2 linked regions of the Arabidopsis thaliana genome follow. The protein of the gene in region 2 interacts with the protein of the main gene of each other region in a biochemical or structural test. Each region holds a gene or a part of one and is shown on either strand. Other genes may lie near its edges.

Region 1 (16,421 bases), on a different chromosome or scaffold from region 2:
TAAAGATGGAGACTCTTTCGGTGCTTCATCAACGGCGGTGCTAGATCCACCTTCGGTTTCTGCCTCCGCCGATACTTCGCTGGAGTTCCTAGCCGGCGAACAGATAATCCGCTTCGTGTTGATAGTTGGCTTCCATGGGAAAGAGCACGTGCTTGGTACGTGATGGAGGACTGATTCACCGGGAATGTGGACTAAAGATGGTTGAGTTATCGTCGATAAGGAAGCCATAGCTCCAAGGTTTACACACCAAACACACAAATATTTCGAATTTTAATTGATAACGGATACCAAAATTGTATCAACCATAGAAATCTAAGCGGATAAATAAATAATGCAGGTCCACTATAATAAGACACAGCTATATAGTATTAGTTATGATTCTTTATCAACAAGGTCGTTGTAGTATAGTGGTAAGTATTCCCGCCTGTCACGCGGGTGACCCGGGTTCGATCCCCGGCAACGGCGATTTTTTATCTTTTGGTGTTAGATTTAGAAACGATGTCGTTTTCAGCTTACTTCAACGTTCTTACAGCATCTTTGAGCATTAATAGTAGTAAGTAAACCCAGTTAGACAAAATGTTTGTGACACAACACAATCGAAGTTTGCAATTATATGAACAGCATAAACTTACTGCACATGCTTCGATATCTACAGAGTCATCAATCTCATGGCTTTTTGTCTCTAATATTTAAAAGAATTGAGTCTTGAAAGAAAGTATCAGCAAAAAGCTAAATAAAAGATAGTCAAAGCAAGGACTTGAATCATCAGTCTTTTTTCTTATTTGCTTAGACCAGAGCTCTCGCCAGATTTCCAAACCACATCGTTAAGTGAGGTTGAGAGCTTCTTGTAGAACTGTAAAGAAAGTAGATGAACAGAGATATAAGAATCGGTCCTCAAGTGAACATATTAGTCGAAAACTTGAAAAATGATTACCTTATGGAATTCTAGTGTATCCCCTTTCGTTTTCCGGACTTCGATCATATGAAGAGACGGTGATACTTGAAATATCTACAAAACATTATAAGATACGGTCACTTCTTTAGTTCCATGACAATTTGGATTCAGATACTAACTTCATAACAGAAAAAGAGTCAGGAGTGCATAATGTACCTCAGTTGCAACTCTTAGGTTTCCTTTCCTTCCAGCAGTCACGTTTTCAAGTCTCATCTGTGTACATAAGTAGCGCTTCAGTAAAAGGAAACTTCCACACCGTAACGAAGTGAGCAATGAGGGTGATAATATGTTAATTAGGACCTTCATTTCTACCCTAATAGGTAATCCGTCTATAAGTGAACTTGTTGGTGAGGTTCGAGTTTATCGATTTATACCAAGGGAGTGAGTCTTTTTATCATGTGTTTGTGATTCTTAACTCTAACAGGAAGCCATCTAAGAAAAAGGAAAAGACGATGCCAATAGCTGTTAAGGTTTCACACGATCGCATTACCTTATAGTTTTTCTTTTGAATATCGAAACCAAGCGGCTTAGAAGCTTCTTCAATCTTTTGGACTAAATCATTAGCAGCACCTTTAGCAGCAAATCTCGTTTCTCGCTTGAATCCCTGCAAGTTAAACGGTATAGACTTCATTACTGAAAATATAATGTGGAAAAACAAGTGTTTGCTCAAGGATTCAAGCAAATAAGTATGTTAAGTCTAAGAGACATACCTCTTCTTCTTCAAACAAATTCCCGAGATCCAGAGCTCTCGACATTGATATCAACTCAAAGGCATTCATTGAAGTTGGTTGCTCCTCTTTCTTTTCTGTGACATGATGCTCCTGTTAATAAATTACAGACTGTTATGTACATTTATTCAAGTAACTTGAAAAAAGGAAAAACAGTTCATTTATCTTATAGATCGCAGACAAAATAAATAAGACTCACTTCTGAATCTTTGAAAACAGCGTCCACATCATCCAAGTTGGCTTCTTCCTTCTCCTCGAAAACAGCTGGCTTGTAATTTTTCTTGAACCACGCATCTCCCAGAACCTCTGGAATTGTGATACGCTGGCACGTTAACACACAGTCAATTAGTTCCACCGTTGAAATCAAGGACGAGCGGCTTTAGTCGCAGATGTTTTGAATGAGTTTAAGTTTAACATGCAAGACACAAAAAAAAGTAATAAAGAGTCGAAGAGGAAATATAGAAAGACTTTGATATAAAAAGTAGATAAAAGTGATTACACAAAGAATTCAAGAGCTTAAGAAATAGGAAACCCCCCCAAAACCCAGAATAAGAAAACACATAAATAAGCCCTTAGTTATATATCATGATTAAGATACTAATCAAACAATCTTCACCAAATCATAACTGAATATCTATCATAATCCGCTATGTATATAACTAAAAAATACAGGAGAATCATAAACTTTTGAGCAATTTAGAAAGATTATGATAAAATCTACCAGCAGAAGCTCATTGCAGGTAGATATCCCTAAAAGAAAATGTCAGCTAGAATGGAAATTATTAATTTATATGACACAGAAACGTACAGTTACTTTAAACAAGTCAATAATTCTGCTTACACGTTGTGACTCAATTTACAAAATAGTAAATGATGCCTAAATATGAAGAAGTATATTTGATATTAAACCTAATGCTAAAAATAGAACAAGACAAACAATAGAATGCCACTTTGGTGGGTTAGGCCGTTAGGGCTTAGACAATCAAATCTTCCCATATATGTTACCCTGGTAAGCCCTAACCTACCTAAGTGTCTAAGAATAAAAACAAGACAAGATTGTTGGGGTTCGACTGAAGAAAACAAAAGAAGAATAGATTTAAATCTTGAAAGCATTAATAAACTGAAATATCTTACAGTCATAGGGTTTGGATCCAAGATTCGGACAATCAAGTTCTTAGCACCAGGAGAGAGCCAAGGAGGACAATGATATTCACCAGCTATTATCTGAGAAATGACGAAAGTGTTAACATAGAAACAGTAATCACCGATAATGGTGAAAGAAGAAGCTTTGAAAAAATGACAAAACTTCTTACCTTTTTATACAGCGTCATGAGATTAGAATCCTCGAAAGGCAAGTAGCCAGCAAGTAGTACAAAGAGTATCACTCCACAGGACCACAAGTCTGCGGTTGCCCCGTCATAACCTTGATCATTAAGAACCTTGTGACAAGAGCAACAACGAAGCTATTAGTAACATAACATGGTGCAACAACCGCATGACATACAAGACACATGCCTAAGCATACCTCAGGAGCAGCATAGTTTGGAGTTCCGCATGCAGTGTGAAGAAGACCATCACCCTGCCAAGACCAAATAAGTTTGATAAGCTGAGAATCTAGAATGGTCAGTATTCAGAGCTTATTAAATATATGTATAAACAGTCAATGAGACACATCGTCGTTGAACTACAGGTTTCTTCATTAGAATAGGACAAGGACAAATCAGTGAGAATTCAGGTAAACAAAAGGATGCTAAGAAAGAAAAATAAGACTCAGTGATTACCCTGACTTGTCGGGACAACGCACTCAATCCAAAATCAGAGACTTTCAGATTTCCTTGAGCATCTAGAAGCAAGTTTTCCGGCTGCAGTGAAATTGTAAGTATCAATTATCTGCACATTAAAGAAACATACTGCAAACTTGGGCATAAACCAAAAAATATCATACCTTTAAGTCCCGGTGGTACACTCCCCTGCTATGGCAGTAATCAACTGCATTAATAAGCTGCTGAAAATATTTCCGTGCATTCTCTTCTTTCAAGCGCCCATCATGTACCTTCACAAGTTTACACATAATGCAAAGGTTAAATCTACAAAGGTTAAATCTACATCAGAGATAAGAGAACGTTTCAATTGCAAGAAACAGGAACATCTATCAAGATTGACCAGAGCTTAGCATACATGTTCAAACAACAATAGATGGATCAAGTAACAATTATAAATCCATTGGGAGGGATTAAGGAAAACTCACAATTTTGTCAAAAAGCTCTCCACCAGTGCCGAACTCTAGAACAATATATATCTTAGTCTTGCTCGCCAAAACCTGGAACGGTATCAATCATTTCCTTAAAAGTTAGCTTCAGCACATTGGCTTCACATACAAAGAGCTCTAAAGCAAGCCAAAGAAAAATAGAGACACAAATAGAAAAATGGAGATATACCTCATACAGCCGCACTACATTTGGATGGTTTATCAGCTTCATAGTACAAATTTCTCTCCTTATCTGTAAAAACAATCAGGAAAGACACACATCATACTTTTGGACTGAAGATGCATCTAGTATATTATCTTATTAGGAAAGAGAGTTACCTGTTCAGCCATCTTATGCTTAAGAACCTTCTCCTTATCAAGTATTTTGAGAGCCACGCGTTCTCCTGTCTCAGTATTAACAGCACACCGAACTTTCGCAAAAGTGCCTTGTCCAAGCGTCTTTCCAACCTCATACTTTCCAACACGACGCTGAACCTTTGGCCGATTCATCACTCCGAATGTTCACCTCTTGATCTTCAAAAGCTGTTTTTGGAAAATGTAATCTCGCATATAAGAATGATTCCATGAAAAGAATCCAACACAACAACAGGCAAGATAGTGTTTCTTTGCTCAATTCACGGAAACTAAATGCAAAAAAAGTGAAAGAAACCGTCAAGAAAAGAACAGTAATATGCCACAGAATTCAATAAAGACAAAGCGTAAAAACAGCTGAAAATCCACAAGGCAATGACAAATCTAGCAGCGGAGATTTTCTCCGGAAATTCCGATCATCCTTTTTAATTACTCCAAAAACAGCCTAAATCTCTAGAATCATGACTTAGATAAATCATATATTGTTCAAGCAAGCATCTACAAATCCAAAATTCTCCACTAAACCAATATTTGTACTGATACACAATTGAAGCGAGATTCTCGAGTTAGCTACAGAACTAATCATCATCACCATCATATAATATAGAGATTATGCACACTTTACACATAAACCAAAAGCGTAAGCAACTCTCTAAGTTACCGAATTACTCATCGAATTCGAAGCAAAAACATGGAGAATCGACCAACAAACCTGCAAAATTGGACGGAGAAAAGTGAGCGAGTAGAGGTGACAAAACCGATGTAGCCGCCTTTGGGGAGCTCAAGAGTTAGCAGGAGAAATTCAAAAGAAAATCTATGGCGGAGAATTCGCAGGAGAAATAAAAAAATGATGGGCTAATACAAGGAGCAACAAGAGATAGAGATGCGACGAAAGAGATACGATGATTGTAGAGAAATTTGTAGCTAACAGACAAAAACTTATTTAATTTCGTGTAGGGACTCTCTCACTTTAATGGACACTTGTTTTTTAATTTTTTTTTTTCGTATGGGACAATTATACGTTTCTTTCCTTTGTTAAGCTCCTCAATTTTCTTAAGAAATAAAATTATGTTTTTTGCCTTTTTTGGTCAATTATTTTGGGTTAATTAATGTAATGACAAAATATTTGAGTATTCAGATTTTGACTAGATATGGACCTAATCAATAGGTGTTTTTTTTTCTTTCTCATTTGAGTTGTTTCTAAGTAATCGATGAATTCTTATGTTTTTGTTACAGACCATTTAAAAAAAAAAATAGTTGTAACTGATTTTATCCACTATTATATATTTTTAAGTCTTAACTCTGAAGTATATATGAGTTTTTTGTAAGAAAGAAAAACCGTTGCTTCTTCACTCTCACTTACTTACTAGTCACTACAAAGTTCAACAAAAGTCATACATTGCAACCGTTTTGTGTAGTGTCAATGGTTATAGACTGATGACAATTATTAGAACATTGAACAAATCATCAACGGCAAAAGCTCATTAGACTCATTTGTAGCGAGTACATATATATTCTAGAGGTGTGGAATAATAAGACTCATATAAATGATCGAACACTCTTTTTGTTTTTAATATAAAAACTAAAAAAATTTAAAAACAGTTTACTTGGAAAAAATGTAGAGATATTGACTAACTTTTTTATTAAGTATCCATTTAAATTAAAACAAAACATGTAAAATCGATTCAAGTTTAACTATTTCTACAAAAAAGTGTATTCATGTAAAATTTTTGCTTATACATATCCGTTTCTGTAACGTAAATTTAGAGGATACTCTAATCATTTCATATGTATCCATATATTATTTTTTTCAACATATTATAAGTTTTTTTTTAATTTTCCAAATTAATTAATATCCTTAAATATCTATCCTAGTTTAAAAACTTTTTATAATTAAATATTTAAATGAAAAAAATAATGTCAAAAGTTTAATTGATATACTGTAAAATATTCTACTAAATCAGTTTTGAAAATAGTCAAAAAAAATTAATAATTGTTAATTTGATAGATTTATTACCTAGTATATATGTCTAAATTAACTGCAAAGGTTATAGTTTTCTTTATAATTGTCTTAAAAAACTAAACTAAAAAGACAAAAAAATCATAAGAATTACTGAATTAGCTAGTAAATCTTTAGAGGCCCAACCATAAGTTGTTGGGCTCTCTCTCTTTTATAAGCTCTCTTGCTGAATTATTATTAGAGAGGCAAATAATATATTCAGTAGCAAAAAAAAAATCTGGGATTTCTAAAAAAAGGTAAGAAGGAAAATGGCGGATCAGCTCACCGATGACCAGATCTCAGAGTTCAAGGAAGCCTTTAGCCTCTTCGATAAGGATGGTGATGGTATGTTTCTTTCCCAGATCTTTGCGTTTTTTCCCCGATGATTACTCCGTCCGTATACGAGTTCTGGAATTTGTTTGACAGATTTATGATCTTCTTCAGTTTTCTGTATGATTCGTGTTTGTTTCACTTGTGAACGATCTAGCTTTTGGCTAATTCGATAGCGATTCATGACTCACGCTGTGTTTTGTTCTTGTTCTGGTTCAGTCTCGTGATGCAGCAATGAAATGTTTTGGGAAATTTATCCATATGTTGAGATTTTGAGTAGTTTAATTGTTGAAAAAAGGATTGATGTTGTAGATATCAGGAATGTATTCTGCTTTGATTGGTGAAAAACTTGCAAAATTCTGTTGTGCATTATTGGCCTTTGCACGGTGAGATGTGGGTTCAATAGAACGAAGTGGCTAGGGTTTTGATTCTGGCTTTGATACCATGTAAAGAGATTTGGAGAAGAATATTGTGTCTTTTTAATACACATGATTCTAGATTTGCTAGTACACACACATAAGGAAAGACGGAATAAACACAGAATATTTCTTTTACCCTAACACTTTAGGTAGGACTTGGAAGAGTGATTATTTTTAGTTTGTATGAATGGAGTTTCTTTGTTAACTTAGTAGGACTTTGTTGAATGAAAAAAAATCATTCTCTTTTTTACTTACCAGATCTTCATCAGTCGAAATAAGAAATACAATGGCTTTTGTTTGTTGACTGTGGATATAAGTCTGTCTCTAAAAGCTTATTATACCTGAATCTGGTTGCAGGTTGTATCACCACCAAGGAGCTCGGAACCGTGATGAGGTCTCTGGGGCAAAACCCAACAGAAGCTGAGCTTCAAGACATGATCAATGAAGTTGATGCAGATGGGAACGGGACCATTGATTTCCCGGAGTTCCTGAACCTGATGGCAAGGAAAATGAAGGACACTGATTCAGAGGAAGAGCTCAAGGAAGCTTTTAGGGTTTTTGATAAAGACCAGAATGGTTTCATATCTGCAGCAGAGCTTCGACATGTCATGACAAATCTCGGTGAGAAGCTATCCGATGAGGAAGTTGATGAGATGATCCGAGAAGCGGATGTTGATGGCGATGGTCAGATTAACTATGAAGAATTCGTCAAAGTCATGATGGCTAAGTGAGAGAATTTTATCTTAAGCCCACAAAAAGAAACAAGATTTATGATTTCTACAGTGAAGTTACATTATGACTTGATTCTGGTTGCGTTCTTTAGGACATCATTTTGCTTATTTCCCTTGTTTGTTTGGTTAAGCCTTTTAGTGTTATGTGAAGTATGAACTCATATTTTGCTCTCTTTTTTGGGCATCTGATTTTATTCTGTAAATTTTTGTTAGTTGTTGTTTATCTTAAAGCAATGCCCTAAAATTTGGCCGCGTTTAAAATACCAGTAAGAGAATTGACCAACGAAAACGATTTTGCAACATCGCCAACGTTATTGTTATTTTACATGAAAAATATAGTAGTTATATGTATCAATAAAATTTACAAACCATTTTGTTTCTTAGTTTGTAAACCGTAAGTCCCTAACCTTCAAACCTTTTTTCCATTAGGATCATCAAAATTGGAAATTCTTTAGAAACAAATGTAAGTAGCCTCTAAATCTATTGTTGTCTAAAAGTTTTTTAAATGATCAAAGAGGTTGTAAACCTAATTTCGTACACTCCCTGATGCTAGAGAGACCAAAAGATGTAATGTGACCATCTCCCAAACGAAAATTGGACTCTTGACCTCTAGGTCCAGAGACTCTTTAGTCAACTAAGTTTGTTGGTGGATGCTTGGTTTATATAGGGTCAATGTTAACCCGATCCAGATAGCGAACCGGACTACCTTATAGGTCATCAGATCATCGTATTCACCCGCGGGTCAAATTATTATAATTTATTCTATAGAGATTATATAGTTTTATAAAGAGAAATTGCCTCAAATATCACATAATCAAGTTTTTGGGACACAATTAGCACCAACTTTTCGATTAAGAAACAAAAAAATACAATCTAACATTATCCATCTCATTGTCTTGCTTGTTAAACACCATATTTTTCATTTAACTGAAAAAGTATATCTGTACAGAAAAATAAATCTTAAAAATCGATCGACACCAATCTTTGATCAGCTTTTCTTACCCTTTAATTTAGCTCCATCTCTACAGCAAAACAAATTCTACATGAACTTACAAAATCTCCCGGCTTCCCCAATCTGGTCTCTGCACAACACCACCAAAAGAGTCTGCCTCAAACCAAACTGAGACTTGATACATAGCTTTGGTTTTTCAGGCATTCCTTTTAAGAACAATGGACTTCTCGACGAGGCGATATTATTTGGGATATTGAGTTTAGAGGAAGTTGAGAAGGAAGAGCCCAATGTATTGGCATCATTACTATTAGAGACACCAATAGATTTCCATCCATCAGCTATGAGTTGCATAGTTTTCCTTGTGGGAACAACATTCTTCCCTTCCATGTCTTTCAGAAGCTCTTCTGCTTTCCATGGCTGCTTCGCTTCCCCAAATCCCCATATAAGAGTCTCGTAAGTAGTCAAGTTAGGCGATAAACCAACGATTCCACACATTTTCTTATATACCTGCATCGCTTTCTTCATTTCACCAGCACTGCACCAACCGCTTATGATCTGTGTGTAGATCACTACATTTGGGCGAACACCAAATTTTCTCATCTGATTCAAGATTTGCTCCGCTTTTTCGGGCTCCCCAGCTCGAGCATACCCTTTGGCAAGGATACTAAATGCATGAATATCAGGATCTATTCCTCCTTCCAACATATCTGTATAGATCTCTTCGCATCTTTTCATATCTCCTACAGAACTCCATGCATTCATTAGAGTGCTAAACGTTACCACATCAGGTTTTACTCCAAATTCTTCCATCAGATCCACCACCTATTATATTAACTTGCCCATAGTTAAAATTAAAAAAACGAAAGTGAGTGAAAAATTATTGAAAGTTTATAAACTATAAAGCGCACCTCACCAACTCCATCCATGTCGTTGATGTTAAGGAAGCCTTTGATTAGAGAGTTAAAAACAAACAGATTAGGATGAACTCCAAGTTCCTTCATTCTATAGAAAAACCTCAAAGCTTCTTCCATCTTGCCCTCTTCACAGTAGCCATTCACAATGGTACCGCAGGTACGTACATTCGGTTTAACTTTATTGTGTAACATCCTTGGTATGATCATATCCTCAGCTGTACATGTTGACCCGATCCGCGCATACGCTTTTGCCAATGTGTTAAACGTAACTACATCAGGTTTTACCCCATAAGATTGCATCTTATATACAATGTTCCATGCTTCTTCAATCTTCCTCTGGTTACACCAAGCCTGGACAAGTATGTTACATGTTCTGTCATTTGGTTGGAGCATCTCATCCCGTAACATCATATCCAGGAGTCTTGATGATTCCTCCAGCTTACCAATTTTGCCATATCCTTTGATGAGAGTATTAAATGTACTTGCTGTGGGTTTACATCCACTTTCCTTCATTTTTTCGAAAATCTTCATTGCTTGATCGAGATTTCCAGACTCGGAAGAGGCGTTGATGATGGCGTTGAAGAGAATGGTGTCAGGTTTAAGGCCGTTTTTCTCGACTTTGGAGATGAGGGAGAGGAGAGAGTGGAAGTGCTTTTGACGGGTCAATGCAGTTACAAGCGTGGTGTATGTGATGAGGCTTGGCTTGTGGCCTTCCTCAATAAGTGTGTTGAAAATGGAATGAGCTTCTTGAGGCCTCCCTCTTTCTATCAAGCCGTTCATCAGTTTGGTCCTTGAACGAACATCACCACAAGTAGTACCACCTGAACATATCACACAAGGAAATGACCTCAGTTGCACTCTCCCTTCCTGTGAAGCAAAGGCGTACGTTATCTCAAACATGTTTTCATATTAGGATCAAAGACTTTGATATTATTGAATCAGATGCTCTATGCCTAAAAGGTTCGGTTAGTCTAGGTGATTATTTCCAGCTACTAAATCCTTCAACTCAATCATCAAACAGATCTCAGAATAGATAAAATGACTCACTTCAGAATCTTTGAAAACAGCTTCCACATCAGCCAAATTTGCTTCTTTCTTCTCTTCAAATACAGCTGGCTTGTAATCTTTCTTGAACCACACATCTTCCAAAATCTCTGGAATTGTTATACGCTGGCATGTTAACACAGTGAATTAGTTCCACTTTTGAAATCAAGGACGAGTGGCGTTGGCGTTTATTTATCCGCAGATGTTCTGAGTGATATTCAAATTCTACATGCAAGATACAGATAAAGCATCCACTTTGTATGACTCTAACATGCGCTTATCCACGGGACTAACAATTACAGGAGGGGTATACAACTTTTTAACATTTTTGAAAAGTGATAATCTACTACGAGTAGCTCATTTCAGGAATGGAAAGGAAAGGAAAGAGTCAGCAAGAATTGCAGAGTTTATGATTCCCAATTATGATTTCTGGTCTGTCCATTACTTGGAACGATTAAATTTACACTTTAGAGATTAGACCAACACTATATGAATGCCACTATGTCTATGTTGAATGATCTCTTCAAATTTTCCATTAGCGCTCAGGCATAAAATTTCCACCAGATTCCTAGTAACCCCTAACCCGCCTAATGATCTTAGAAAGAAAAAGAAAAAAAAGCAAATTGAGATTGTGGGGCTCCACAGAAGAAAACAAAAGAAGGATAAATTTAAATCTTGAGTAGTAAAGCGAAATGTCTTACAGTCATAGGGTTTGGATCCAAGATTCGGACGATCAAATTCTTAACACCAGAAGAGAGCCAAGGAGGACAACTAAAATCAGCAGATGAGATCTGAAAATAAAAATGCAACTTAGAAACAGGAATCACAGATGATAGTGAGAAGAAGCCTGGAGATATATATTACAAACTTCTTACCTTTTTGTACAGCGTCGTGAGACTAGAATCCTCGAAAGGCAAATACCCAGCAAGTAGTACAAAGAGTATCACTCCACAGGACCACAAGTCTGCCTTTGCCCCATCATAGCCTTGATCATTAAGAACCTTGGGACAAAGGCAACAAGGAAGCTATTAAAGACATGGTTCGACAACCGCATAACAAGCCACATGACTAAGAATACCTCAGGAGCAGCATAATCTGGATTTCCACATGCAGTGTGACGAAGGCCATCTCCCTGCCAAAACCAAGTAATTCTGATAAGGTGAGAATCTAGAAAGATCAGTGTTACGGACCTTGTTAAATTTTTGTGAATATAATCACTGATATCATCATTACTGAACTTCAGGCACATTCATTAGAATAAGACAAGGACAACTCAGTAGGAACTCAGGCAAACAAATGATGCTAAGAAAATAAAATTCCGTAGTTACCCCGGCTTGTTGGGACAAGGCAATCAATCCAAATTCAGCGACTTTCAAATTCTCTTGCGCATCAAGAAGCAAATTTTCTGGCTGCATTGAGAAAATAAAGAAGAAAAAAATTTAGGCACTAACTAGCTGCACTTAAAAGAACCTACACTGCAAACTTGGCCTAAGAGTTACCAAAAATGTTCCTTGTACCTTTAAGTCTCTGTGGTACACTCCCCTGCTGTGGCAGTAATCAACTGCATTGATAAGCTGCTGGAAATATCTCTGTGCTTCGTCTTCATTCATGCGCCCATCATTTTTCTTCACAAGTTTAAATTTAATGGATTGGATAAAAGTCAAAATAATATATTATCTAATCTGTAAGATACAGGAACTTCTTAGCTGAGCATGGGGCATTTGGTTCATGATTCAAATACCAAAGGATGCATTAGATACAAGTTAAAGCCCTTGGGAGGTAAAGGGAAAACTCACAATCTTGTCAAAAAGCTTTCCACCACTGATGAACTCTAGGACAATATATATCTTCGCCTTGCTCGCCAAAACCTGGAATGATATCAATCATTTCATTAAATGTTAGTTTTCAACATATTTGCTTAGACTCCAGGGAGCTGTTAATTTCTAGTTAATCAAAGGAAAATAGAGACACGTAGAAAAAAAATTGGGGCATGGAATTAGACCTCATAAAGCTGCACTACATTTGGATGGTTGATCAGCTTCATAATAGAAATTTCTCTCTTTATCTGTAAAAGCAAACGGGAAAGACCCACATCATACTTCTGGACAGAAGACGGATCTATCTGTGAATCTCGCTTTTAGAAACCACGTTTTACTTCAAGAAATGTAACATGGGCATATCAATGGACAAGAAAGGAGGCATGAAAAAACTAAATGCCGATTAGGAAAGCGAATTACTTGTTCAGCCATCTTATGCTTCAGAACCTTGTCTTTATCAAGGATCATCAAAGCCACAGGGTCTCCTGTCTCTGTGTCAACAGCACTCCGCAGTTTCCCAAAATTACATTCACCGATCAATCTTCCAACCTCATATTTGCCAACCCAACGCCTGACCTTTGGCTCACTCATCACTCAGAGTTCACCTCTTGATCTTCTTCACAAGCTGTTTCATGAAAATGTAATGTCAATGTTAGAATTCTATCTCCAAAGAACCCAACAGTGCAGGCAACAGAGTGTTTCTTTTCTCAATTCACAGAAACTAATGCAAAAGGGACAAAGAAACTGTAAAATACGAGAATACACACAAATAGTACTATGGCGTCAAATGTGATAAAGACAAGGCAAAAACAGCTGAAATCCACAATGCGATGGCAAAGCTTTTCAGCAACAGCATAAATTGTTGGGTATGTTTCTCATTGGGCCCTTTAATTCCAACATAAATTTCTAGAATCATGACGTCGATAGTTCATGCTACAAATTCATCATCGTCCTCCTACACATTTGATTATGTACAGGTCATGAACAAGTGACCAAATTATCCAATTTACCGAATGATTGATTCTTCGTTCGAAGTGAAACATGGAATAGTAGTATAGTACAACGGAGCTTCAGGAATACACACCTGCGAATTGTCCCGGGAAAAGGGAGTTGAAATCGCATGCAGCCTTTCCGGCAGTAGATTTCAAAAATCTATGGCGCAGAATTGGCTTATCGAAGGAGAAGAAGTAGTTTGTCGGACAAGAAAGGAACTCTCGGCGACAATGCAGAGCGGAGGAGCTCGAGAGAGTAGTAATTGGAAACAGAGCGTCTCAATTACTCGGTCGATGCTTCTTCCGCCATACTCCATCGTGTGGCTCACTTTTTCTCACCTTATTTCTCTTTTATCTTTTTCTTATCCAAATTAAAATTTTCAATCAAATAGACGACGTGGATTTATTATGAGTACACTTTCAAACTGGTTAGCCTTTTCCAATACCAAAAAGAAAGATTATTTTCAAAAATTTGTCACTTTCGCAAACGTTTTGTCAGAAGAAGAAAAAAAACAGGATTTATGTGTTTGGTTGCTAGCAGATAAGCTTGTTATAGCCATTATTAGCGAATGTATTTTACAGTTTTTGCAGAAAATAAAACAACAATCGTTACAATGAGAGAAGCTTTGTACACAAGCACCACAAACCAGGTAAGAAAGAGGTTAATAAACTCAAATGTTGGGCACTCACTAGTCACTATGAACAAAGAACATGTTTTCACATAATTGAGAGATGAAAAAGAAAGAAAGAGAGAGAACAATGTGGCACTGAATTTTTAGGGTTACCGTGTGAGCGGTTTGTAGAGGACAACAGTTATGTACTTAGACTCGAACCTGTGGGTTAAACCCAAAGCTACTATGGATTGAGGAGTCCATCCTTGCTCTATGAACACATGGTTAAGCACCACATGTTGAGGCTTTGTGGCTATGGCTGTCTCTTCAGTAGTGCCAAGAAGTGTTAGATGAAGCTGAGGTGGCACCGCCAGTGGCTCTTTCGCGTAATCTTCTGCGGCTGGTAGGGTTTGACCGTAGCTATGATCAGGTGATGGTGGCGCCTCAAACTCCACTATGCTTTCTGGGTTTTCTGGCACAAAGTTCTGCATGCATAATGATTGCAGATACTGTTAAGCTGATTGATAGATTTAACATGAGAAAAAAAGAGGTGGGAAAGTAACTTACATGAACATCGAGAATGTTACAGACATTGCCAACTTCGTCTGCTACAAAGGGTAAATCTGGGATGTATTTGGATTCACCGTCCACAATCACCTTGTAGTGGTATATGCCAGATGGAAGGACAAAGAGAATCGAGTGGTCTTTCCCTGATTTCTGCAGCTTCTTCCTGGTGAATGTAAACATATTGTTTTTAACATATATCACGAAATCTCGAGAGAGGGTCCACGAGAAACAAAGTCAATTATACCTTGATCTCCAATTGTCCCATGATCCTTCCACCGCCACATCATTACCTCCTTGGTTCCATGTAATGATGGTAGGGATTCCTTGCTCTGGGGGATTATCAAAAACTCTCTGTGATTGGTTCCATTGGATGTTATTAGGAGGAGGGGCGTTTGCTCTCTGCAATGGAGCCACGGGAACCTGAGAATATCCACATAAACACTGAGCCGTGAGATCTTACAAACCAATGTGCAAGAAGAATTTGCGAATGTCAAAACATTATATCTACCATCCGACACGAAATGCAGCCATTAGGTACACATGTTAAGCCTAAACAATGGAAGAGGTGACGCATAGGTGAGCAAATGTTGTAAGATGTAACGTGGAATAACAATGTGGGCTGAAAAGAAAAGGAGTCGAAAATGAATATAGCAACAGTAGACTCAGAAATTTACTCGCATACAGAGTACAGACAAGACCTTATTAGCAAAAGATATTTCACTATTCCCACAAAAACCTGATAACAAGGTCAATTTTAGAAGGTTGTCCTTCACTTATCTTATGAATTATTCACATATTAAGAACAATGAGAAGAATGACGAAACATCCAAAATCTGTAATTCGTTCAAGTAAAAGCTCTGCGTGTTTAAATTCAAAAAGGGCGAAGAAAAGAACAAGCTTGCCCTCCCTCCTCTTAAAAATGAAAGCAAAAGACATTACACAAAAGACTCACAATGCGACATGCAAATCAACAGAACAGTATCAGTAACTGGTAAATGACCAGAGAGCAGCAGGAAAGTCAAAATCAGCATAAAAACCTAGAGAGACAATAATCATCCTATTTGACTGCCATACGCTTTTCCACACCAGGCATGGAGGCATAATCAGAAGACAAATAAGACCTTCTCTAAAGCAGATTCTCTAGTATGATTAACAAGATTTTAACTCACCAAAAGGAAAAGACATAGCAATAAGGTGATCTAAGCCTCTCTCTCTCTCTCCACCAAAACTAAGGAAGAGTAACTAGCTACCTTGTCATTTACCAGAGTTTTTGACTTCTCAAGAACCAAACAAAACCAAGTCAAGTCTAATTCCTTTATACAAAAGATTTCATTCACAAACGTACTTAGTCTGCAAAGTTGCCCTCTTCACAATGAAACAAAGATAAATTACACAAAGACTCACTAAGGGACATCAAGAATCATGAGCGACCAGTAAATGACTAGAGACCGGCTGGAAAATAAAGAAAAAATAGCTAGGAAACCAAAACAACATCTTAAAGAAAGGTAGAAACTTTTCCACATTATGCATTATTTCAAGATACCTGAACCAAGATAACACAAAAATAAAAGAGATTCTCTAGTACAGAATCTCTAAACCCAACTCAGAAAAAAGCTTTAAGAACAAGAATCTACATTACAAATTCTCAAGAACCAACAGGATAACACAAATCAAGTGAACAAGTAGAGTTCACTCATAAAAAAAAGGCTGGAGATTTTGTACTTGGATCCTATCTAAATGAA
Region 2 (17,138 bases):
CTTTTAGATGAAACGGTGAGGACACAGAGAGATAACGACACCAAGGAGATATGTGGACAAGGATCTACTAGTTGCTTAGGTAACTCTCATGTGATTTCTTTGTCTGAAATTATGCATTCATTTAGTCAGTAGCATATATTTTAAAAGAATATGTAATATGTTGGTGAAAGTTTAATGTTTCACACTCTGAAAAAGTGCCTGTGTATCATTTTGCCTTGTGAGGTTACTTATTACCTTCTGTTGAATGCTAAACAGATAAACCGTTTGTGGTGAAGCAACGGAGCAGTTATAACGGCAAGCGAGGTGATAAGAGGATTTCCAAAGTTCCGGTGAGAACTTTATCAACCATCAATTCAGCGACTGGCGAGAATGCATTTTTCGGTATGTGATTGCTTCTGAATTAGCCTTGTCCTGTGGTATCCAATAGTGTACTCTAATTCAACAGTTGACTCCTCAACCTGGTCGATTTACTTTGGCTAGTTATTATATTTTCTTTTATACTTTCAGTTCTATAGATTGCTTCGTCTGAACTTTGAAGTGATTTACAAGTGAAATCTGTTCTGAGGTAGCTTTAGAGGTCCCCTCGGTCACTTGTTATGATTTTTAGTTTATTTTGAATCCTCCCTGACATCACATTGAAAAGGTTTCATTGGCTGACATATTCTTTGCATCGCTAAGGTACCAAAGGGACAATGTAAGAGTTATAGCACCAGTGCATTTCACTACTATCTCATTAAAATGCGACCTTGTTGACATGACAAGGTCTCGTCAGTATATTCTCCTCACGTGAAATGGTCTGATCTTTTTCTAGTGTTGTGTTTACCTCTTAATTTTCCTTACCTTACATGCAGGTGCCTATGGCCTGAAGCCTGCAATAAATGATGTTACCAAACTCGTTGAAGATTTTTCATTGAAAAGTCTTCTTGAAGGCTCTTATGAGTGTCCTTCTTTGGGCAAAGACAAGATGAAGAAATCGGAGAATACTAACAACACTTTATTGAGTGTAGTCAAAAATGTTTGGTCCATTCTACCAACAAAGAGGCCTGTTCAATCACAAAGCTCTACTGAATTAGACACTTGTCTCAGCAGAACTCTGGGTTCACCGCCTAGCTCTATCTCTGCTACACTACCAAATAGTGAAAACATCGATAAAGTAAATGCCCTGGATGGAGATCTATCGTCATCGTCCAAGGTAGATTTCTTAATCTAACATTTAGAAGTTTCATATATATATATTCTGATTTGACCTGTAAGCAAGTATACATGACTTTAAATAGGTTTGTTGCTTTAACTGAAAATTGATACACTCATTGACTTCTCAGGATCATTGCATCAACTCTGAAATTCCTTCCACTCCACTTAGTTTTCCATTATGCGACGCTGGCGATGTATTGAAAAGATTAGGCCTTCCTCCGTCGAAAGATTTAGACTCTCTGCTCCAAGATGCATCAAAACCTTCTCATAACTCTAAGAACAATTTGGACCAGCAGCGTTCAGCTAAACCTCCTCATAGTGGATTGCCTCATTTCCCTTGGTCGCAGCCCTTTAATGGGAGCTCTAGAACCAACTCAGAAGCAGCAAAGCTTGTGACCTGCAAGACACTTTGTCAAGGACGATGGCTAAGAATAGCCGACACTTCTATGAGTTCTCCAGAGGGTATAACCGATAATTTCGCAAATCTGGAATCACTCACTTTCAACCAAAACTTAGTCCCTCCACTACTGAAACAGACTATTACTGGAGTTAAGACCTCTCAAACAAAATTCGCTAACACCATTTCATGCCAGTGCGCAGAAGCATCTGTTTCTACCCTTCAAAATTCTTTCTTTGTTCCCAAAGGTAAGGATCCGTTACCCTCTTTATACTACTCCTAACGAAAACTATATAACAGCAATTTATCTCTCATCAAATGCAGAACCAGAGGGATCCCCAGATGTTGAAGATGATGGTATGTTTTCACAAATACTATTACTGAATATCTCTTTGCCTCAAATTTTATTGAAAATCCTCTTCTGATGATGATGATATGTTGTGTACAGCTCTTTCATGTCCACAGCTTTTAGAAGCTGCACGAACGCTCTGTGACATTGCAGTCCAGTCCGCAAACCACGACAACCCAAACGGAATCCTCAGATGGCCAAAGAAGCTCTCTCAGAAATCCATGAAAGCCCGCAAATCCAAACTAATCGAAAAGCCTCTGGAAAGGCACAGGACAACGGTTTCATCCATAGATCTTAACTCAAGCAACAACAACAATAACAAGAACCACGTGAGAAAAGATTCAGCAGCAGAGCATAATCACCACCATCATCATCATCATCCTAAGCCTTCAAAGAGACTGAAACTATCAACAATGGAGAACAAGAAGAGATCATTCCCGAGCTCATCATCCCCAATAGAATCAGATAGAAAACATTCATCTTCAAGCAAGTTCAAGAATCACTCCCGTATGATGTTGCCGCCTCCACCACCAACGAGAACACTCCAAAAGTCATCCACATATCCTCAGAAAGCTCGGAAATTTCCATGAACCGGTTGAAAATAAGAGTGGTGGATCCATATAAACCAATCTTGATTACTCAAAAGAAACCGGTTTGGTTTTACAAGGGGACATAACGGCGTCGTAGGAGTCGTCTGTAAATACGAATGGTGTCACGGTGTAAGGTAAGTTCTTCTCTATGTGGACAGTGTTTAGGTGCAGAAGACTATATATATTGTATTGCCTTCAATGTTGTAACATTTTTTTTTTTCAGTTGTAGTTGTAGCCACACAGTTCTTTTTAAGGTCTGTTGTGTTTAAAGATTTTTAATTCTACGAGGTCAATGATAAAATTCTCAACTTGAGTGTCGTTTGTATATTTTGGGTGGGAAAGGTTCGAACTCTCGACCCCAATCCGCTTCTTCTCTGCTCTTTGGCTGCTGCTAAATGCCCTGACCGTCTGCTTCGAAGTTAATTGCTAGGCATAACAAACAAGAAAATTTTTGTGTTTGTTGAGGACGTAAAATGCACGTACCACACATGTGTAATGTACTAATGTGGTTGTATATGAAAATAATTATTATAACCTAAGATAATATATTAAATTTGGAAAGCCATCATGAAGTCGGTTCTAATTCAAACTTACTTAATCGTTTATGTATGTGGTGTCACACCGATCACGATCGGTTAGTTTGTGTTTCTCAAGTGTTCTATTATTATATACTTTTCAAAAGATTTGTTAAATTTATTGTTTGTTTAATTGGTTACTTTTGAGTTTTTCGCAAAGGAACAGCGGAGATTAATATATGAGTTCTATAGCCAACATAAATTTAATCAACCAAATTTTACCAACCTTTTTTCTTTTAAAATGTATTCTCCTATCAAATAGTACACGAGATAAACAATTCTAATCTATTTAAAGAAAAAAATGATATTTAAAACCTTATACCTAATGAAAACACTTTGAACACATGATAAATCATTAATAATAATTTTGTTCTAACTTAATTCCATTTATTGCTTTATTTATTTTTCTATATTTTGCTGTGAAATTAGGATAATTTTTGTTGATGTAAAGTTACTACAAAAAAATCTTGTTTGTATATCACTACTAGAGTTTGAGAATGTTAGTTAACAACCAAAGAAAAATGGTTGTCTTAAAGGGACAATTGTTGTATTTTCACTCTAATGAAGGAGTTAGGATGGTAAAGAGAACATGACAATTCAAAGTCAACTAAGTAACTACAATAAATAATTTCATAGATGACATAGTTTCTCTCCCATGTACAAGAAGTGGTTGTTTCATTGACTTGGAAGATATATGGTGGGCCCATTTCACGCACTATATTGGGCCTCAATCGCGTTATTTTTCTTCTAGAAGCCCAAAAGTTTTTGTGTACTATACATGCATGAACGTCAAAAATTATTACTATTAGTTCAACGAATTTATACTATGGTCTATGGACTTGGTGACAAAAGTAAACTATGAAATACTAGACAATTATTCGTAATTGTTTTTATCCGCTTGACTTTGAATATTTCCCATATATGATAAATTTTCATTAACTTGAGTGAATAACCAAAATCTAACTAATATATAATTATCGGCAAGATATCAGATTTTTATGTGTAGGAAAACCAAAGAAGAAGAAAACGAACAAACCAAAAGTTAAGACTTTTCTTTACTGTTCGGTACGGTATGCTTCAAGTTTTAATCATCCTACATATATTTAAGATGTGTGTAGTCGTCGAGTAGTAACACTTATCATATTTTCTAATGAATCTAAACTATGAAACTATTTTGACAAAGAATCCTAATAAAAATCGAACCTAATCAAGAAGAAAACGAATTTGCTATATCATAAAAAAATTACCACTAGGCCACTACTTTCTAAACTTAAAGTTAATCCATCATATTTCCAAATCGTTTGGTAATCAATGGATCGGATAAATGAACTGATTAGTGATTACGTACTATATAATTAACAGTCATGAAAAGCAAACCGCAAACGATACGTCAAATTTTAAAACTTGAAAAGTCAAGCAGTGGGTTAACTTTCTTTAGATTTATGAAACAATGTTCTATATTCTAAATAGTTTCTTACAGTAAAATTCAAATCTATATATACACAAATAGAAAAATGATTGGTTTTTGTAACTTGGGTTGGTAGAATATTCATATCACATTTGACATTTCTATTCTTCAAGAATAACTTATGGGAGAAGTTACTTTCGTTCGAAAACTATAAAAGTTGCAGAAGATAGTGAAGATAGTTGCAGAATTGTATTATATATGTTATACCCAGTTATGTGTGCATGTGTGTACATATATATATGTGTACACTAATACACACGTTTTTCTATGAAATACGAGTTTGTTCAAAAACATCTGACTTTTGTTCATTCATATAAAATGTTAAACGAACTTTTCCTACTTTTTAGTGAATATATTTCGTCAAATTGAAATTGATGCCAAAATTAGGTATAACGTGAAAAACGTATATGTTTTTTAAAAATGAGATTAGTTACGTTTGAAAATCAAATCTTTTCACATTTCACTTTCATACTTGGAGTTTTTGTTTTGTTTTATAACTTGTGTATTTACTACTACAACTGTTTGCACAACATAACATTGAATTGAAATCTTTATATATTAAAATGAAAACACTCAACCCCTTAAAATAGAAATGGTTCACATTCGAGTTTGGTTATTATTTTCTGATAACTGAATTAGATGCCGAACCAAAACCATACAAATTTCCGAGAGATGTAGAATGATGGGCATTTTAATCGTACCAAACAGAACCGAACCAAACCAAACAACCGAACCGTAGTGACGTAGTCTACATCTAACCCATTTGGTTAAACTTTTTTCAACCCTAATGGTTCGGTTTGAACCATTAACCCTAACTGTTTTTTAATTTATAATTAATTTCGTTAGGTAGATAATATTACATGCTTGATTTTGGTTATTTATCAAAACTAAGTTTACTTAGTTCTTTCAATCCTTAAATCTCTAATTCTAAGCTACAATTTTATAAGGTATGGAAAAAACTATTCATATCTCATTTCTATTCCGTTACTTTTCAAAAATTTCAAGTTTTTTTTGACTAAGAAAAGATTTTATAAAAAAAATATGGCTAATAACCACAACGTTTTTCTTGAGTATTATTATTAATAGACTAAACAAATACAAATAAAGTTTACCCCACTCGAATATAAATATTTTTGAGGAAATGTATCTACTATCTTCTTAAACAACGTCGTGTCATTACTCAAAAGTGTCCAACGGGCAATACAAGATTATGATGGACGACCCATGATTAAACATGTTCGATCTAATCTAAAATCTTTTTAGTCTATATTAGTGAAGCACTGAAAACAAAATGTTGTTATCAAATTTGATTTGTTCTTGTTAACAATAAATTCTTTTCAAAAGTGAGCAAAATATTTGTAGTCGTGGACTTAACAACAATACATCAATCGCTAATAAAACACTGGCTTCCACAAATGATGTATAAAAACTATATTCAAAGTCGTCGTCCTTGTTTTTTCTCTCATCAGTTCACAAACAAGCTCAACTTTGGATAAAACGCGTCGGACGTACGAAAAAAAGAAGACTTGCAGAGAAACAACAGTCACACACACAATCACCTCAGATTTAAAAATATTCCTTTGGTATTACTTGAACTAACGTCATCCGAGTTGTTTCTATATATATGTACATATATTCTTTACATGTTATTTATAGCTAATTGGAAGTTTTTAGTGCTTATTGCTAGCTACTAATTAATAACGAGTTTAATTCTAATGAAAATTGGACACAAAATCTGATACTAAGTTGCCTATATAAGATTAGAAATTTAAACTAATAACAGTTACATATATACAAAATCGTGTTGTACCTCATATAATTATGGTGCATTTGAATAAGATATCTATTGAAAAATATATAATGAAAAATTAAATTGGTACTCTAATCAAAAAAAAAAAAAATCTTTAACACATCAAATGTTCAATTTTTTTAAAAGTCCAAATCGTTTTGATATTGTTTTTTATTGAAGAGCAAACTACTATAAGAAAAATATTTGAAGAAACATAGCATTTTCCCATGCATAAACTAGAATGACCAACAAAGATACTCTCAAAGTCTCACTTGTCTAAAAAACAGATAAAAATCATTTCCAATTTTGAGAAAAGGAAAAAAAACAACTCCAATAATACTTTTTGATTTTCTTTTCGTTGCATTAAAATAAATGTGGCAAAAATCCAATAATATTACTATTATAAGTTAAAAAAACTCAAAAAAAAAAAAAAGTATATTCCGTCAACTTTTTCTCAGTCCGGTTCAATCATCTCCATCATCGTTGATCTCTCTCTCTCCGTCAACGTTCTCTCTATAAAGCAGAGAGTTTCACAGCGCGTGAAAAATGGCTTTTCCCACTTAGCCACAACGACGCGTTTCAATTCTCCATCTCTCCCTCTCTCTCTCTCTTTCTTCAAAGATTCCACCAACCTATACATATACTTATATATAATCTATGCTACGTGTATATACTTCCGATATCCTTCAACCAACTCTTTGAATTCCGACTTTGGATCTATGAAACCGTTCTCAAAGAACGATCGGCGACGGTGGTCATTTGATTCAGTTTCCGCCGGAAAAACCGCCGTCGGAAGTGCATCAACTTCACCGGGAACTGAATACTCCATTAACGGTGATCAAGAGTTCGTTGAAGTCACAATCGATCTTCAAGACGATGACACAATCGTTCTTCGTAGCGTCGAGCCAGCAACCGCCATTAATGTCATCGGAGATATCTCCGACGACAACACCGGAATAATGACTCCGGTTTCGATTTCGAGATCTCCGACGATGAAACGAACTTCATCTAATCGGTTCCGACAATTCTCACAAGAGCTTAAAGCCGAAGCTGTGGCGAAAGCGAAACAGTTATCTCAGGAGTTGAAACGATTCTCATGGTCTCGTTCTTTCTCAGGTAACTTAACCACTACTAGTACCGCCGCTAATCAAAGCGGCGGTGCTGGTGGTGGTTTGGTGAACTCGGCTTTAGAAGCGCGAGCGTTGCGAAAGCAACGTGCTCAGTTAGATCGGACTCGGTCTAGTGCTCAAAGAGCTCTTCGTGGTTTGAGATTCATTAGCAATAAGCAAAAGAACGTTGATGGTTGGAACGATGTTCAATCAAATTTCGAAAAATTCGAAAAAAATGGTTACATCTATCGCTCCGATTTCGCTCAATGCATAGGTTCGTAAAAACTCTAGAAGAAACTCTAGAGATTTCGAAATTTACTCAAATCTTGATTTGTGTTTTTTTTGTTGTTGTTGTTGACAGGAATGAAAGATTCGAAAGAATTTGCATTGGAACTGTTCGATGCATTGAGTAGAAGAAGAAGATTAAAAGTAGAGAAAATCAATCACGATGAGCTTTATGAGTATTGGTCACAAATCAACGACGAGAGTTTTGATTCTCGTCTCCAGATCTTCTTCGACATGTACGTAACAGAAAAAGTTACTTAAACTTAATAATTACTTTAATTTAATTACTCTCTTAATCATATTTTTACTGATAATCAATGATTATTTTAGAAAGGTTTCTAACAGTCATTTTACTATAAAGAGATCCCATATTTTCAGCGTTTTTCCAGATCAGTCTTCCTAATTAATTAAACAGTCTAGTAATTTAATTTGATGCATGTGTGCAGAAATTATTGTTCCTTACGATGCGTATGTTTTAATTTTTGTAACTATTGTTTTTAAATATAAACCTTTGACTTTCATTGAAGATAATTAATTACATAATTAATCATTTTTACAGAGTGGACAAGAATGAAGATGGGAGAATTACAGAAGAGGAAGTAAAAGAGGTAATTAAATGCTAGCTAACTAACACAATTAGTGTTATCAATTCTGTCACTATTTAATTAAACATAAATTAATGTCATATTTTTTCGTTAAGGTTTAAGAATAAAATATAAACTGGGACTGGTAGTCAAAATAGATTTTTTAAATTTATAATCAAAGTTAGGCGGGGATTTGGTGACCTTAAATCTCATGAAATGCTGATATACTAACCACTCCATTTAAATTTTAAAAATATCAAAGAACCAAAATACGAATTTTCTTGTCATTGATTTGAGTTTAAACCATGTTCGTTTAGATTCTTATCTGTAACTAAGTTTTCAATTATGCTGAAATATGTTATTGTTTAATTAGTTTTGACTAATAATCAACTTGTTTTAATATAATCTAATATTTGACGGTGACACAAGATACAATAGAGATGTTTTACTTAACATTTTTTGAAGAAAAAAATCCTTCTTATCGTTATGCTTTTTTGTATTTTCTTTGAATATGTTAGATAATAATGTTGAGTGCATCTGCAAATAAGCTATCAAGATTAAAGGAACAAGCAGAGGAATATGCAGCTTTGATTATGGAAGAGTTAGATCCTGAAAGACTTGGCTACATAGAGGTTGGTTTTAATACACACTGTACAAATCTTTGAATCTTTTTCCACCATCACATGCTTTGTTTCCGTGCTTGCATGATGTGAGTATTATATTATTGCAAAATATTTTCAATACTTTCGTTACCCAAACGGAATAAAGTATGTAAAACCGCCGCCCATAAATAGGAATTCAATAATTCTTTTATATAATGTATGACCTCACATGTTATAAGAAAAAAGGAGCCAATTTCTTTTACTATAGCATTAAATTATTTCATGTTTGCTTTTTTTCTACTCTTATCTCATTTTGCTGACACCTAGAATAGTTGTCCATTATAAAGTATAGATTCAGTAGCTCAAATATAGTATAAAAACTTTTTTTTTTTCTATTTCATCAACTCAATGGTAGGTGAAGTAGTTACAATAGACTATTTCAATTGCTAGCTAGAAGATAGAGTTTGAAAAGAAAAAAAAAACATGTGACTGCTACATCTTGAATGTTATATTTATCTATAGAAGTTAAATGATTCATCAAGGCAAATATTTCATACATTTTAATGCTCTTTTATTTTCTTCTTGTGTAGCTATGGCAACTAGAGACTTTGCTTCTACAAAAAGACACATACCTCAATTACAGTCAAGCATTGAGCTATACGAGCCAAGCATTGAGCCAAAACCTTCAAGGGTTAAGGGGAAAGAGTCGAATACATAGAATGAGTTCGGATTTCGTCTACATTATGCAAGAGAATTGGAAAAGGATATGGGTTTTATCCTTATGGATCATGATCATGATCGGATTATTCTTGTGGAAATTCTTCCAATACAAGCAAAAAGATGCATTTCATGTGATGGGATATTGTTTACTCACAGCCAAAGGAGCAGCTGAAACACTTAAATTCAACATGGCTCTAATACTTTTCCCAGTTTGCAGAAACACCATTACTTGGCTTAGATCCACAAGACTCTCTTACTTCGTTCCTTTTGATGATAATATCAACTTCCACAAGGTTAGTGAGCTATAAACCTTTTTGTTTGTTTGTTTTTTACTTTTGATTTCTACTTTTTAGGGTCCCATAAGAACTTTCTTTTCGTGCTTCTATAGAAGTCAAAACCAATACTAATTAGAGATACAAAATCCTCATCGAACGCAATGTGCTGTCAAAAAAGCTGAGATTGTTGTGGGGCTCATATTCTTTGTGCACGCACTGGAACATTGACATGACAGCTAAACAGCTATTTCGCTTTCTCTTTTTTTTTTTTTTTTTGGTTCTCTCTTTCTCATTTCTTACATTTTTTTGCCACTAAAGAAAAGTGAATAAGATTAAGGCATGTGGAATTTAGGTTTGGTTAGGAAAGTCTTATACGGAATTAGAGCTGAACTTTTAATTCAGTTTGAAATTTTTTGTCTCTATGTTGCAAAAAAAACAACTTCATATACAGCTGTTTTGAATAAAATTTTGAAAAGCTATACCGAATTAAAATCAATTTTTTTTGTTTAGTTCGAATAAAATTAGTCTGGTTTTCTTATATGGTTTGGTTCGGTTTTGCACCAAAGATAACTTCACATGCAAATTTTTATTTTCTAATTCAGTTAAGTACATTACATATAGTAAGATTGGTTTTGGTATATTTAAATAACAAATTAAATTTTTCATTAGTTGCAGTTTATTTGGTTTGCTTTGGTTGTATAAGCTTGGTTTCAGTAAATAAACTAAGATTAATTTTGGTTTGGTCTTGGTTTTGGTTTTAGAAATGCTCACCTTTAAAAGTGAAGGTTGTGTTGTAGTGGGGAAAAAATTCTTATTTGATCATTTTAAACTTTCATAAAGTAAGAAACCAATGCTCTACTCACTAAACTATTTTGATAGAAAATTTTAACTCACTGCTCTTTTTTTTGGTTTTTTTGTTATGTGCAGACAATTGCTGGAGCCATTGTAGTAGCTGTGATCCTTCATATTGGAGACCATCTTGCTTGTGATTTCCCTAGAATTGTTAGAGCCACCGAATACGATTACAATCGGTATCTGTTTCATTACTTTCAAACAAAACAGCCAACATACTTCGACCTCGTTAAGGGACCTGAAGGAATCACTGGGATTTTAATGGTCATTTTGATGATTATTTCATTCACATTAGCAACAAGATGGTTTAGGCGTAACCTAGTCAAGCTTCCTAAGCCATTTGATCGACTAACCGGTTTTAACGCCTTTTGGTATTCGCATCATTTGTTCGTCATTGTTTATATCTTGCTTATTCTTCATGGTATCTTCCTCTATTTCGCCAAGCCTTGGTATGTTCGTACGGTAAGTCTCCATGATTCTAAGCTTAGTAATTGTTGACCATATATAATCTTGATTTTGATTTTGAGATGTTGTTTTTTGCAGACATGGATGTATCTTGCAGTACCAGTTTTACTCTATGGTGGAGAAAGAACACTTAGGTACTTCCGTTCTGGTTCTTATTCGGTTCGACTGCTTAAGGTAAGTGAAAAACAAAAACTAAAACAGAGGACTCTGTTTTCTTTACTTTCTCATTGTCTTGTAGAATAAGCTAACTTCTTTTGATTTTTCCTTGTAGGTTGCTATATATCCTGGTAATGTTCTAACGCTACAAATGTCGAAACCAACTCAATTTCGTTACAAAAGCGGACAATACATGTTTGTCCAATGTCCTGCGGTTTCGCCATTCGAGTGGTAAGAATTATTCATAACAGTTTTTGATACCAACCAAATCATCTGTCTTACTGATTTGTATTTCGTTTTAGGCATCCATTCTCAATTACTTCCGCACCTGAAGATGATTATATCAGCATTCACATTAGACAACTTGGTGATTGGACTCAAGAACTCAAAAGAGTATTCTCTGAAGTTTGTGAGCCACCGGTTGGCGGTAAAAGCGGACTTCTCAGAGCCGACGAAACAACAAAGAAAAGGTATAACACGAAAACAAAACCAAACACTTATAAATTAACCAAATGCTGATATGTTTAGTTAAATGTTGTTTCAGTTTGCCAAAGCTATTGATAGATGGACCGTACGGTGCACCAGCACAAGATTATAGGAAATATGATGTTCTCTTATTAGTTGGTCTTGGCATTGGTGCAACTCCATTTATCAGTATCTTGAAAGATTTGCTTAACAACATTGTTAAAATGGAAGAGCATGCGGTAATAAACCAAGTCTTATCTTATTCTCTCTTGTGCAGACAAATAAATAAAGATGTCAAGTTTGATAAAAATGTTTTTACGTCTTCAGGATTCGATCTCGGATTTCAGTAGATCATCAGAATACAGCACAGGAAGCAACGGTGACACGCCAAGACGAAAGAGAATACTAAAAACCACAAATGCTTATTTCTACTGGGTCACAAGAGAACAAGGCTCTTTTGATTGGTTCAAAGGTGTCATGAACGAAGTTGCAGAACTTGACCAACGGGTAATAAACAAACTCAAAACATTTCTTGACAGACACAATCAAAATTTTCCCGAGAAGATTCAATGTGAGAAAATCAAAAAAAAAAATTGTGTGGAACAGGGTGTGATAGAGATGCATAACTATTTAACAAGTGTGTATGAAGAAGGTGATGCTCGTTCTGCTCTCATTACAATGGTTCAAGCTCTTAATCATGCCAAAAATGGTGTCGACATTGTCTCTGGCACTAGGGTACGTTACTTTCTTCTTAAGTCGTGATTCTTTTGATTTCCTAACACGGTCCCCAAATTATAAATTGTGGAAAAATGAACCCACACATAAAGATATGATTCTTAAAAAAAATCTTCATTTTTCAGGTCAGAACACACTTTGCAAGACCTAATTGGAAGAAGGTTCTCACAAAGCTAAGTTCCAAGCATTGCAATGCAAGAATAGGTAACAATCACTAAGCTCCATACATTTCTAATCTTCACAAAAAGTAAAATTTTCTTTCAAGATTCAGTCAATTTAGTCCCCACAATTCATTTTCAGTATCCGTGGGCAATACGTTTCATTTTCATGCTTTTGTAGAAGCTTTCATTTTCTATCACAATCAAGATTCGGGTTTCGATCAAAATGATTCTTAAATCTTTGATCTTTCGCAGGAGTGTTTTATTGCGGAGTACCGGTTTTAGGGAAGGAGCTTAGCAAACTATGCAACACATTCAATCAAAAAGGTTCAACCAAGTTTGAATTTCACAAGGAGCATTTCTAAAAGACAAGAAGGAAGAAGCCAAAAGCCCTCTAGATTCTTTAATATCTCAAATTTAGCCACTTATAGTATAAAGGCAATCTCTTCACTATTTAATTCAAAGTGATTAAACGTTAACACACTGTCAAAAGTGAGTGTGTTAACGTTTAGCTCCACACGTTCTAGGTTTATATACACCGAGGCATACGTGTAAATATACGAGACAGAAGAAATTCAAGGGGGTTTGATAGAAGCATATAGTAAAATTTTAAAATTTCTTGTATAGTAAGCAAATGAGATGGAGACTCTAGAAGAGAGGTGAGGTTTGGTGAGGGATAGCGACAGTAATACGACGTCGTATTCGATTGTAGAGGAAGTGCAATACAGCTGCAGGGAAGATAAATGATGGAAGCAAATAATGCGTTGATAAGGTCCATGTGATTAGGAAGATGACACTCTTTTTGGGGGATATTTTTTTCTATTTTTTTTTTTTAGTGGAGTCGGTGAAAGAGAGACTAGAGTTTTTAGAATATTGGAAGAATATTTGGGAATAAGGGAGTTATAATATTTTTGTATCATTGTATTATATAACTAATGTAAGGTGTACAAAGCATAAAATTTGATAGTTCCTTTCTTCTATATGTTTCCTCTCTTTTAAATCTTAAGAATGTGTGAGTGTGATCATCTCTGCAAGAATGTTTGTACTTCGTTTGTCTCCTTTGGAAAACAAAAATCATATAGAAAATGAATGAGTATATGTACATACATGAGAAATAATGTACCCACCTCTTTATTTTTCTCTGTAATACCTTTCATATTTTTCTTAACAAACATGTACCATTTCTCTTTCATTGTTGGAACATTTGTTGATGGACCTAATTGTCATTGCTTCTGAGCCACTAAGCCCAAAAATTAAAATTATTAAAAGGCCCAGTGGAGTTTGTGATCACAAACCTAAAGAAGTTTAGTGTATGAACCATTTAATCAAAGGAGGTCCAATCCAATAGTGGTGGTATCTATGTGAGAAACTGCTATTGTTACAGATAAAGGACTCAGCAGGAGTTGGACCTTTGTTGCAATAACTGTAAGCCTTTTTTAAACCAATAACTAAGACTTAAGAGTTAAGACCAAACCTTGTAAGATTTTTTACTTTCAAGAACATCGATTTAAGATTTTGGTGAATGTAGTCCTAAAATTTTGAGCTGAAGTCTGACCTAAATTGCAAGATTTCACAGTTGCCATATCAATGTTGACGTCGTCTAAAAGAATACGTCAAGGTAAAATATTTTCTTGAGTTAATTTTGAGTTCAACCATTTGAACAAATTACCATAAGATTACTATTTCAACTGTTTGATTTCAGAGTTGCCTCAAGAGTTGTTTTCTCATACGTATGACTGACTTTGTAAGGCTGGTTTTCATACAAAAAAAAAAAAAAGAGACTTTGTAAGGTTGCTTGCGTATCTTTATCTTTGATCATGTCTATGGTTTCTTAAACCCCGCTTACTCATATCACCAAAAATACTGAAATTAATTTTATTTTGGGATCATTGTGCTTTATGATCTTCTTTTTTTCTCAAACTTTTGTTGAAGTATCGAACATGATCACATTTTATTTTTGTTTCTTAACGAGAAAGTTTTAGAAGAGACCTAGTAAGTAGTAAGCATCACCACAGTACCTATATATCTTGATTTGTTCTTAAAACTAGGTCCCCTGAGAACCTTTCTCCATTCCATTTCGCCCGATCGTAGACAAATGCGAATAGTATTTATTATGAGCACATTGGTCCACTAATCATCGTCAAATTTCTCCGTACGGATTCTAATTTTTGAACTTTAAATCAAAGACATTAAAAGAGAAATAAAAGTCAAGTGATAGGTTTCAAAACAAAAGAACTAATACTATTTAGGTATTGTAAGTTTCCCAAAATTGATGAAAGAAGAAAACTGAAACCCTTCAAAGGTTTCTAAAAACAATTGATGTTAGTTGAAACATTTAAATCTTTGACGTCGTCTTCATCTAAAGACTCTTCTCCTTTCTTTTTTTTCACTGGACTCTTCTGCTATAACTCGCTTTTATAAACGAATAAAAATAAAATCAAAATTAACACACAAAAAAGAATAAAATAATTAAAAGACAAAAATCAAGCCCTCCGGAAAAGACTTATTAAGGATAAAAAACACCGCGTAAGACTCTAACTTAACACGATCGTGCCACGTGTCCTCCAGAAATCCCTCTTTTAACCGCCAAAAAAGAAACCACCCACTCTTCCATTAACATTAACTTTCCTCATCTTCTTCTTCTTCTTCCTCTGATCTAAACAACAAAACAAAAAATGGTGGACGAAGATCGGATAACACTAGCTCCTACCGAGATCTATGGCAGGAGTGATGAAGAACAGAGCGGACCAAGAATCTGGCGTCGGAAAACAGAGGAACCACCAGGGAAATGTCTAGTCTATTCCTTAACAATAATCGTCATCATCTTCGCACTTTGTCTCATCCTATCTTCAATCTTTCTCCGTATCTCAAAACCAGAGATCGAAACAAGATCAATATCGACTCGAGATCTACGATCGGGAGGTAATTCAACAAACCCTTACTTCAACGCCACGCTAGTAAGTGATATCTCGATCAGAAACTCGAATTTTGGCGCGTTTGAATTTGAGGATAGTACGTTACGTGTTGTTTACGCTGATCATGGTGTTGTGGGAGAGACCAAGATTGAAGGGAGAAGAGTGGAAGCTCATAAGACGGTTAGGATAACCGGTGTTGTAGTTGAGATCGGTTCGTTTCGGTTATTGGATACTAAGGATTTGGATAAGGATTTGAGATTAGGGTTTTTGGAGTTGAGAAGTGTTGCTGAGGTTAGAGGAAGGATTAAGGTTTTGGGAAGAAAAAGATGGAAAGTTAGTGTGATGAGTTGTACCATGAGACTAAATTTAACCGGTCGGTTTATTCAAAATTTGTTATGTGAATAGTAGTGATTGATTGATCGGTTTCATGATCCGGTTTAAGAAGATTTATTTGTTTGTTGTTTTTTTTTTGGGTGTTGTGTTTTTGCGGTATTGTAATTGCTATGGTCTTTGTATATGAACGGAACATCAATATTGTAGAAAAGAAAATTAGTCACTACAAAATTGATTTGTAAAATAAATAAATAAATTGATTAGTATGAATTTGTAGGATCATCATTTGAGAAAAACGAATGAGAAAACTAAGAATTTTCTCAATAATTTAATATATTAAATGGTGAAATAAAGTTGGAAACTTCTCAAGCCCCACATGTTGACCCATTCATGCATGTACACATCAAATCGACATACGTATACATCCACTATATTAATAGTTTTTTTTCAAATTTTTTTTTTTTTGGTATCAAAATATTACTCTTTTGAGTTTCGACATCTACTGAGACATTACGACAATTTACCCTAACAAAAAGAAGAAGAACTAAATAGTGTTTTATGAGGTATACCGGTTCTCTTGTTTATAATTTTTGAGGGACCGTAAAAGTGGAGAAAATTTCATACTCACCTTCTCAAAAGTAAACGGTGAATAGTGAATATGCTTTTTACATTTTCTCCAACATATATGGCTCCTCCAGAGACATTTTTGTTTATCTAATCGTCAAAGTTTTATCGTTACCCTAATCTCATGGCTTCTTCCTCTTCTTCTGCGAGTCGTACTTGGAGATATCGTGTCTTCACGAGCTTCCACGGATCAGACGTCCGTACAAGCTTTCTAAGTCATTTTCGCAAACAGTTTAACAACAATGGGATTACAATGTTCGATGATCAAAGAATCTTGAGAGGCGAAACCATCAGCCCTGCGCTCACTCAAGCGATTAGAGAATCGAGGATCTCTATTGTATTGCTCTCGAAGAACTATGCTTCTTCCGGGTGGTGTTTGGATGAGTTGTTGGAGATTTTGAAGTGCAAGGATGATATGGGTCAAATAGTGATGACTGTCTTCTATGGAGTAGATCCATCTGATGTGCGGAAACAAACTGGAGAGTTCGGGATCGCTTT

The links.
Region 1: of the proteins of RBOH F (region 2) and CIPK26, one has a biochemical effect on the other in vitro, tested with the Arabidopsis thaliana proteins (one study listed by BioGRID).

The regions. Positions count from the first base shown.
Region 1 is NC_003076.8:7,206,101-7,222,521, reverse strand, and holds CIPK26 (Ca2+regulated serine-threonine protein kinase family protein), read right to left. Parts: upstream 5,279-16,421; 5' UTR 5,016-5,278; intron 4,475-5,015; 5' UTR 4,442-4,474; coding exon 4,271-4,441; intron 4,185-4,270; coding exon 4,122-4,184; intron 4,004-4,121; coding exon 3,932-4,003; intron 3,737-3,931; coding exon 3,629-3,736; intron 3,546-3,628; coding exon 3,465-3,545; intron 3,263-3,464; coding exon 3,209-3,262; intron 3,123-3,208; coding exon 2,997-3,122; intron 2,908-2,996; coding exon 2,818-2,907; intron 2,006-2,817; coding exon 1,883-2,005; intron 1,777-1,882; coding exon 1,666-1,776; intron 1,560-1,665; coding exon 1,446-1,559; intron 1,169-1,445; coding exon 1,112-1,168; intron 1,010-1,111; coding exon 935-1,009; intron 854-934; coding exon 779-853; 3' UTR 501-778; downstream 1-500. Other genes in the region: NdhU (Chaperone DnaJ-domain superfamily protein), read right to left, coding at 1-228; CAM6 (calmodulin 6), read left to right, coding at 6,572-6,647, 7,409-7,782; AT5G21222 (protein kinase family protein), read right to left, coding at 8,822-9,556, 9,643-10,515, 10,696-10,818, 11,394-11,483, 11,568-11,693, 11,771-11,824, 12,021-12,101, 12,210-12,317 and 3 more; AKINBETA1 (5'-AMP-activated protein kinase beta-2 subunit protein), read right to left, coding at 14,283-14,597, 14,680-14,842, 14,924-15,099, 15,188-15,298. UniProt on the Arabidopsis thaliana protein: CIPK serine-threonine protein kinases interact with CBL proteins. Binding of a CBL protein to the regulatory NAF domain of CIPK protein lead to the activation of the kinase in a calcium-dependent manner.
Region 2 is NC_003070.9:23,763,185-23,780,322, forward strand, and holds RBOH F (respiratory burst oxidase protein F), read left to right. Parts: upstream 1-6,589; 5' UTR 6,590-7,081; coding exon 7,082-7,745; intron 7,746-7,832; coding exon 7,833-7,992; intron 7,993-8,315; coding exon 8,316-8,364; intron 8,365-8,858; coding exon 8,859-8,972; intron 8,973-9,532; coding exon 9,533-9,955; intron 9,956-10,864; coding exon 10,865-11,251; intron 11,252-11,332; coding exon 11,333-11,428; intron 11,429-11,525; coding exon 11,526-11,641; intron 11,642-11,712; coding exon 11,713-11,880; intron 11,881-11,954; coding exon 11,955-12,114; intron 12,115-12,202; coding exon 12,203-12,382; intron 12,383-12,481; coding exon 12,482-12,610; intron 12,611-12,735; coding exon 12,736-12,814; intron 12,815-13,023; coding exon 13,024-13,133; 3' UTR 13,134-13,800; downstream 13,801-17,138. Other genes in the region: AT1G64050 (uncharacterized protein), read left to right, coding at 1-79, 256-381, 852-1,192, 1,323-1,839, 1,916-1,948, 2,040-2,530; AT1G64065 (Late embryogenesis abundant (LEA) hydroxyproline-rich glycoprotein family), read left to right, coding at 15,444-16,088; RLM1 (Disease resistance protein (TIR-NBS-LRR class) family), read left to right, coding at 16,765-17,138.